Linked DNA regions of Saccharomyces cerevisiae S288C. Each later gene encodes a partner of the first gene's protein in a complex. Each region holds a gene or a part of one and is shown on either strand. Other genes may lie near its edges. A codon is read from its position in the direction of its gene.

What was found.
Region 2: the proteins of ATX1 (region 1) and CCC2 are in contact, whole or in part, in an NMR structure (PDB 2GGP), measured with the Saccharomyces cerevisiae proteins. Residues at the interface, in NP_014140.1 of Saccharomyces cerevisiae: Thr14 (codon at 1,754), Cys15 (codon at 1,757), Gly17 (codon at 1,763), Cys18 (codon at 1,766), Ala21 (codon at 1,775), Lys24 (codon at 1,784), Val25 (codon at 1,787), Lys28 (codon at 1,796), Lys59 (codon at 1,889), Lys61 (codon at 1,895), Lys62 (codon at 1,898), Thr63 (codon at 1,901), Gly64 (codon at 1,904), Lys65 (codon at 1,907); in NP_010556.1 of Saccharomyces cerevisiae: Cys13 (codon at 2,194), Ala15 (codon at 2,200), Cys16 (codon at 2,203), Thr19 (codon at 2,212), Gln23 (codon at 2,224), Glu60 (codon at 2,335), Asp61 (codon at 2,338), Cys62 (codon at 2,341), Gly63 (codon at 2,344), Phe64 (codon at 2,347), Asp65 (codon at 2,350).

Annotation. Positions count from the first base shown.
Region 1 is NC_001146.8:156,821-159,579, reverse strand, and holds ATX1 (copper metallochaperone ATX1), read left to right. Parts: upstream 1-1,714; coding exon 1,715-1,936; downstream 1,937-2,759. Other genes in the region: DSL1 (Dsl1p), read left to right, coding at 1-1,471; ribosome biosynthesis protein LTO1, read left to right, coding at 2,233-2,721. UniProt on the Saccharomyces cerevisiae protein: Copper homeostasis factor that specifically transports copper to the secretory pathway for incorporation into copper enzymes destined for the cell surface or extracellular milieu.
Region 2 is NC_001136.10:1,003,518-1,009,344, forward strand, and holds CCC2 (Cu(2+)-transporting P-type ATPase CCC2), read left to right. Parts: upstream 1-2,157; coding exon 2,158-5,172; downstream 5,173-5,827. Other genes in the region: tryptophan--tRNA ligase MSW1, read left to right, coding at 487-1,626; hydroxyacylglutathione hydrolase GLO2, read left to right, coding at 5,493-5,827. UniProt on the Saccharomyces cerevisiae protein: Copper-transporting P-type ATPase necessary for the proper uptake of iron. Required for export of copper from cytosol into extracytosolic compartment.

The DNA.
Region 1 (2,759 bases):
CTTTAGAGACAGAAAGACCTTAAGTTATGAGCTAGGTCCCTTGTTCAATACGGAGTTTACCAAATTTGTGAAAAATAATGCATCGATAATTTTAGAATCACTTGATTCACCGCTAAAAAATCTAGTTTCTGTCATAAATAACAAACTAACTAGACTAGTTGCCAAATCAGAAGTTACCAATTGGACACATTCCGGTAAAGAGATTCAGGATTTGTTAATGAACAAACAATTATACTACAATTTATTACTAGATAAAGTTCTTGAATCGCATATTAGTGAGATAAGAAGTATATTTGAAGATCCAAAAAAGAGCTGGCAAAATTTGGAAGTAGTTGAGCTCACTACTAGCAATACTAATACGATGAGCGAAAAAATTGGAAAAAATGATTCAGATGTACAGAACGAAAAAGAACTCCATAATGCCGTATCCAAAGATGATGATTGGAATTGGGAAGTAGAGGATGATGATGCCGATGCATGGGGTGATGAAATTGATGTAAATATTGACGACGAGGAAGAAAAAACAAATCAAGAGAAGGAAAAAGAACCAGAAGAAGAAGAAAATGCCTGGGATGAAGCCTGGGCAATTGACGAAAATATAGATGATGCTTCCCTAGAAAATGGAAAGGAACATTTAAAAGCTCATGATGTAGGATCACTTGATAAAGACCACATTGAAGTTACACAGTTACCAAAATTGTTCTTGGCAATTTCACAGAATTTCAAGAGTAGCTTTGCAGATAGCCATGTTGATGAGCAATACTTTGCGTACAAATACAACCTTTTGCAGACATCGTATATGGCCATGTGCACAGCTAATTTTTCTCACAATTGGTGCCAATTATATGTGGATATGAGATATCTAATAGAACGAGATGAAAAGCTGTATAGAATAAAAGAATTAACAAGGAACCTGCTGGAAACTAAACTGAACATGAAATATCGTATTGTCTGTCAACTAATCAGGCATCAATTGACCGAATTTCGTGAGAACGAGAGAAATCCATCGTGGGACGCCACCATTGAGAAACTGCTACCTTATATCTTGAAGGAAATTGTTCGTCCACTGCAGAAAATAAGAGGTGAAGAAGGTTCCCGTTACTTGTTGTCTTTCTTAAACTTTTTATATAACGATTGCGTGACAAAGGAAATATTAAAATGGCAGATTATCTCTGAGGTCAATTCCGAAAATTTGGGTGAGCTCGTATCTTTATTAGTGAACAACACCGATATACAATTATTAGCGAAGGAACCAAGTTACAAAAAGATGAGAGAAAAATTCGCCACTATGGGCAAGTTTCTACCATTACATTTAAAGGAGATTATGGAGATGTTTTACAATGGGGATTTTTATCTTTTTGCGACAGACGAACTAATCCAATGGATAGAGTTATTGTTTGCCGACACTCCCCTGCGAAGGAATGCCATTGATGATATTTACGAAATTAGAGGCACTGCTCTAGATGATTAAAAAATAATTAATCGTAGGATAGGTTACATGATCATTGCAATAGATGTACATCTTGTATTACGTATGCGTAAGTTGTCTTTTTTTCAGTTTTCTAATAAATTTCACGTGATGCGGTAGTTTTTTTTGGGGGTGCAAAGTTGGCACATCTTGTAGTGCATTTTTGAGCTTCTTAAATGACTTGAATCATCTTAAAACATTGCAGGATGAGATTTCCAACGACACAAGAGAGAACTAGCGCAAAAGATGGCAGAGATAAAACATTATCAATTCAATGTCGTCATGACCTGCTCGGGATGTTCTGGTGCAGTCAATAAAGTTTTGACGAAATTAGAACCAGACGTTTCCAAAATAGATATATCCCTTGAAAAGCAATTAGTAGATGTATATACTACACTTCCTTACGATTTTATTTTAGAAAAGATTAAGAAAACCGGAAAGGAAGTTAGATCTGGCAAACAATTGTGAATGAAAGTGAAGAGAAATAGTTTTTTACTCTATTTTGTATTGTAGCTACTTAAGTAAATGATTAATATTCTCAATAGGATGCTTACGAAGAAAAAAGTCTTTTTTTATTGTTTTATTGTTTTATTCTTTGTTGGCTATGTAGCCATTTGCCTTTTCAGTATAATCTTACTAATATAAAAATCTCAATCATGGTGAGAAATCGTTTTATAAGAAAAATGAAAAAAAACTTGTTTAAATCAAATCACTTATCATATTTGAAGAGTAAATGGAAAGTAAAGATCACTGGACAAATAAAAATGGATTTTGATAATTTACTAAACCTAGAAGAACAGTATTACCAAGAAGGTTTTCTGGAGGGCCAGAATGAGAATATAAAGCAGAGCTTTCTAGAAGGTAAACAGTATGGTTTACAAGTGGGATTCCAAAGATTTACGCTCCTGGGACAAATGGAAGGTTTGTGTGATGTTATAGAATCGTATGGATTGCATAGTCCAACACTAGAAAAGAATATACATACCATTCGTACTTTAATGAAAGGTTTGAAAATGAATAACGATGATGAAAGTGTGATGGAATTTGAGAGGGTGTTAATAAAATTGAAAAATAAGTTTAGAACCATTCTAATAACTCTTCATCGATTAGTTAAAGATAAAAGAACCCCCACCGTGACATTTGAAGTCTTTGAAGACGTTTCAAGGGCCATTGCCGGAGAAATTAGAGGTTTTGTAGAAAATGAAGACATCGCAAAGAATAAGACAAAACAAAATCAGGCTCAATCCTGGTAAGAATACCAAGTGAAGAACATTATCGCCGGCCGCCAAAA
Region 2 (5,827 bases), on another chromosome or scaffold:
CCAATTGAACTATTAAAATGTCGTGGTATAGCCCGATTTTGATTTGTGATATCTACAAATCTAGTATTTATTCGCAATTAATGAGGCAAAGACGATACAATATTCGATGTGAGATTTTTCAAAACACGGCCCGCTGAGAGCAGAAAGTTTTAGATGACCTATTTGAAGGCAATCACGATGGTATTTTTCAAGAAAATAAATAGTAGTAACACTGCTATGCACATCAGAGTCAGATTCCTTAAATTCAAACGTTTCTACAATTAGTATGACCTTTTCTTGAAGATCTTTTTCTCCTTATAAAGGCAACACAAAACAAGATAGAAGTGCAAAGGTATTTTTTGTTTTTCACGTGATAAAATCGGCTTCGAGAAAGTAGAAAAGGGTATTATGATTTATTACAGGCTACCTGCACCATCTCAAAGGTTTTACGTTACTAAGGAGTGAATCAGGTTTTGATAAATATTTACACTATCTTTTACAAGGAAGATGTCGAATAAGCAGGCGGTTCTGAAGTTAATCAGTAAAAGGTGGATAAGCACAGTGCAACGTGCCGATTTTAAGCTGAATTCCGAAGCGCTTCATAGTAATGCTACGGTATTTAGTATGATTCAGCCAACTGGGTGTTTCCACCTTGGTAATTATCTAGGTGCTACACGTGTTTGGACAGACTTATGTGAATTAAAACAACCTGGCCAGGAATTGATATTTGGAGTTGCTGATTTACACGCTATCACTGTTCCAAAGCCAGATGGAGAAATGTTTAGAAAATTTCGCCATGAGGCAGTAGCAAGTATACTGGCTGTCGGTGTAGATCCAGAAAAGGCTTCGGTGATCTACCAATCCGCCATCCCTCAACACAGTGAATTACACTGGTTGCTTTCTACTCTTGCCTCGATGGGATTACTTAACCGCATGACGCAATGGAAATCAAAATCGAATATCAAACAATCAACTAATGGGGATTATCTGGTTAACGATTCTGACGTGGGAAAAGTTAGACTGGGCTTATTTTCGTATCCTGTTTTACAGGCAGCGGATATTCTACTTTATAAATCTACACACGTTCCTGTTGGCGATGATCAATCGCAGCATTTGGAACTAACAAGACACCTTGCTGAAAAGTTTAACAAAATGTACAAGAAAAATTTTTTTCCTAAACCTGTAACTATGTTGGCACAAACGAAAAAAGTTTTGAGCTTAAGCACGCCTGAAAAGAAAATGTCCAAGAGTGATCCGAATCACGACTCTGTAATTTTTTTGAATGATGAGCCTAAGGCAATTCAGAAAAAGATTAGAAAAGCTTTAACAGATTCCATTTCTGATAGGTTCTACTACGACCCTGTAGAAAGACCAGGCGTATCGAATTTAATTAACATTGTCAGTGGCATTCAAAGAAAATCGATTGAAGATGTCGTAGAAGATGTATCTCGTTTCAATAACTATAGGGATTTCAAAGATTATGTTTCAGAAGTGATAATTGAGGAATTGAAAGGCCCAAGAACAGAATTTGAGAAATATATCAACGAACCGACCTATTTGCATAGTGTCGTTGAATCTGGCATGCGCAAAGCGAGAGAAAAAGCAGCAAAAAACCTGGCCGACATTCATAAAATAATGGGCTTCTGACTGTCCCCGGCTTTAGGCTGCTGCAAACGCAATGTAAATAATAATACAGTTTAACTTGTACGTATCTTTGTTATTTCAGAATATGCAAGATTCCTCACTCGGCAGATCTCATCAATAAACGTTAGTATCTTGAAAAATACGCAGATGTTGGTACAGTCTCTTGCAGAGGGCCAGCACCGTTAGAATGTTGTGTTGCCACCGTCTGGCTCGAAAACAGGTCGATCTGTGTAAGTATTGTCCTGGGTGCAGTTATTTGTAGTAGCGATTTTCGCGGGCAGTGGAAAAGAACGGGTGCAGTGCGGCGATGAGTGCAATTAGCTGCCGAAGGGTTTGCACCGGTGATTCCGAGACCTTTTGCACACACTTGTATATATTTAGGGAAGTCACGGTAACTAATGGATTTCTTCTCAAATTTGAGACATATGGATTAGACTTTAATTCTGCCTGGTACTAAGCTACTTTTCAAAGGTATTTGAGATATTTCGTAAATTTTGCGGCCAAGGAGTTGAGGTGTTTAATACTTAAAACGAAATGAGAGAAGTGATACTTGCTGTACATGGAATGACATGCAGCGCCTGTACTAATACAATCAATACGCAGTTACGAGCTTTAAAGGGTGTAACAAAATGTGATATTAGTTTAGTGACTAATGAGTGCCAGGTGACATACGATAACGAGGTTACCGCCGATTCTATTAAGGAAATTATAGAGGATTGTGGATTTGACTGTGAGATACTAAGAGATTCTGAAATTACAGCCATAAGTACGAAGGAAGGACTACTGAGTGTACAAGGTATGACCTGTGGGTCTTGTGTTTCTACAGTCACCAAACAAGTGGAAGGCATTGAGGGTGTTGAATCGGTAGTCGTTTCCTTGGTAACGGAAGAGTGCCATGTTATTTATGAACCGTCCAAGACAACGCTAGAAACCGCCAGAGAAATGATTGAAGACTGTGGATTTGACTCAAATATTATTATGGATGGCAACGGGAATGCAGACATGACCGAAAAAACGGTGATCTTGAAAGTAACTAAGGCTTTCGAGGACGAATCCCCACTCATACTTTCTTCAGTAAGCGAAAGGTTTCAATTTTTGTTAGACCTAGGTGTAAAATCGATAGAAATTTCTGATGATATGCACACACTCACCATAAAATACTGTTGTAACGAACTCGGCATTAGAGATTTATTGAGGCACCTTGAGAGGACCGGATATAAATTCACTGTATTTTCCAATTTAGATAATACTACCCAGTTAAGGCTTCTCTCTAAAGAGGACGAGATAAGATTCTGGAAAAAAAACAGCATAAAATCCACCCTTTTGGCTATAATATGTATGCTATTGTATATGATTGTCCCTATGATGTGGCCAACAATTGTTCAGGACCGCATATTCCCTTACAAAGAAACCTCCTTTGTTAGAGGTCTGTTCTACAGAGATATTTTGGGTGTAATATTGGCAAGCTATATTCAGTTCAGCGTTGGTTTTTACTTTTACAAGGCAGCATGGGCATCTTTAAAGCACGGTTCAGGAACCATGGATACACTAGTTTGTGTTTCCACTACTTGTGCATACACATTTTCTGTGTTTTCTTTAGTTCACAATATGTTCCATCCCTCAAGTACTGGCAAACTCCCAAGGATCGTTTTCGACACATCAATCATGATCATTTCATATATTTCCATCGGGAAATATTTGGAAACTTTAGCTAAATCACAAACATCAACCGCACTTTCTAAATTAATTCAGCTCACTCCATCGGTGTGTTCAATTATATCTGACGTGGAGCGGAATGAAACCAAGGAAATTCCCATAGAATTATTGCAAGTGAACGATATAGTGGAGATTAAACCAGGGATGAAAATTCCTGCTGATGGCATCATAACAAGAGGTGAATCTGAAATTGACGAGTCGTTAATGACAGGCGAATCCATTTTGGTGCCCAAGAAAACTGGTTTTCCGGTTATTGCTGGTTCTGTTAATGGACCTGGACATTTCTACTTCAGAACTACTACCGTTGGGGAGGAAACTAAATTAGCAAATATTATCAAGGTAATGAAAGAAGCACAATTGAGTAAAGCTCCCATTCAGGGGTATGCAGATTATTTAGCCTCTATTTTTGTTCCGGGGATCCTAATTTTGGCAGTATTGACTTTCTTTATTTGGTGTTTTATTTTAAACATCTCGGCTAATCCTCCCGTCGCTTTCACCGCAAATACTAAGGCTGATAATTTTTTTATTTGCTTACAAACTGCTACTTCTGTTGTCATCGTCGCATGCCCATGTGCATTGGGACTTGCCACGCCGACTGCTATAATGGTGGGTACAGGGGTTGGAGCTCAGAATGGTGTCTTAATAAAGGGCGGAGAAGTATTGGAAAAATTCAATAGTATTACTACTTTTGTTTTTGATAAAACAGGTACCTTAACTACAGGTTTTATGGTTGTGAAAAAGTTCCTTAAAGATTCAAATTGGGTTGGAAACGTGGATGAAGACGAAGTTCTCGCCTGTATAAAAGCAACGGAATCCATTAGTGACCATCCAGTTTCGAAAGCAATTATACGTTATTGTGATGGTTTGAACTGTAATAAGGCTTTAAATGCCGTTGTTTTAGAAAGCGAATACGTGCTTGGAAAGGGAATAGTCTCAAAGTGTCAAGTTAATGGAAATACTTATGATATTTGTATTGGGAACGAGGCGCTGATTTTGGAGGATGCATTAAAAAAATCCGGATTTATTAACAGTAATGTCGACCAAGGAAACACTGTATCATACGTATCAGTAAACGGGCATGTGTTTGGCTTGTTCGAGATTAATGATGAAGTTAAACATGATTCTTACGCAACAGTTCAGTATCTACAAAGAAATGGATATGAAACGTATATGATTACTGGCGATAATAACTCAGCAGCAAAAAGAGTCGCTAGAGAAGTAGGTATAAGCTTCGAAAATGTTTACAGCGATGTGTCACCCACAGGCAAATGTGATCTCGTGAAAAAAATTCAAGATAAAGAAGGTAATAACAAGGTTGCTGTTGTTGGCGATGGCATTAACGACGCTCCCGCTTTAGCACTGAGTGATCTAGGTATTGCCATTTCAACAGGTACGGAGATTGCTATTGAAGCAGCTGATATTGTTATACTGTGCGGTAATGATCTGAATACTAATAGTTTGAGAGGACTGGCCAACGCCATCGATATTTCACTAAAAACGTTCAAAAGAATAAAGCTGAATTTGTTCTGGGCACTTTGCTATAATATATTCATGATTCCGATTGCTATGGGTGTGCTCATTCCTTGGGGCATAACTCTTCCTCCAATGCTCGCCGGTTTAGCGATGGCATTCAGCTCGGTCAGTGTCGTTCTAAGTTCATTGATGTTGAAGAAGTGGACTCCACCGGATATTGAATCACATGGGATTTCAGATTTCAAGTCCAAATTTTCGATTGGGAATTTTTGGTCAAGGCTTTTTTCTACGCGGGCTATTGCAGGTGAGCAAGACATAGAATCACAGGCCGGACTAATGTCAAACGAAGAAGTCTTGTAAATAACAGGTAAGTCTAATTTATTTAAAAAAATCCACGAGCATATAGATTTATAACAATAATAATAATTAATATTCATCAATTTTTTAGTAAATTCATATATTTTACTCCTACTCTATGTATTTTCAGTAAGTCTACTAGTCGTATTACCCGTCGGTTTCAAGGGATATTATGGAGGTAATAAGGATTTTTTTACCGATTTAAAAACCCATTATATCCCTCTTAGAAAAATTTTAGTATTCTTAGATAAGTTGCTAGATTTACCAATATCAAAGGGAAGACTGCAGGACAACACAAAAACACAAGAAAAGGAGGACAAAAAATGCAGGTTAAATCGATTAAAATGAGATGGGAGTCTGGTGGTGTTAATTACTGCTATCTATTGTCCGACAGTAAAAATAAAAAATCGTGGCTAATCGATCCAGCAGAGCCTCCTGAGGTTCTGCCAGAGTTGACTGAGGATGAGAAAATAAGTGTTGAAGCAATTGTTAATACACATCACCATTATGACCATGCAGATGGTAACGCTGATATCTTGAAGTATTTAAAAGAGAAAAATCCAACTTCAAAAGTTGAGGTTATAGGAGGGTCAAAGGACTGCCCAAAGGTTACGATAATTCCGGAGAATTTGAAAAAGTTACACCTAGGTGACTTAGA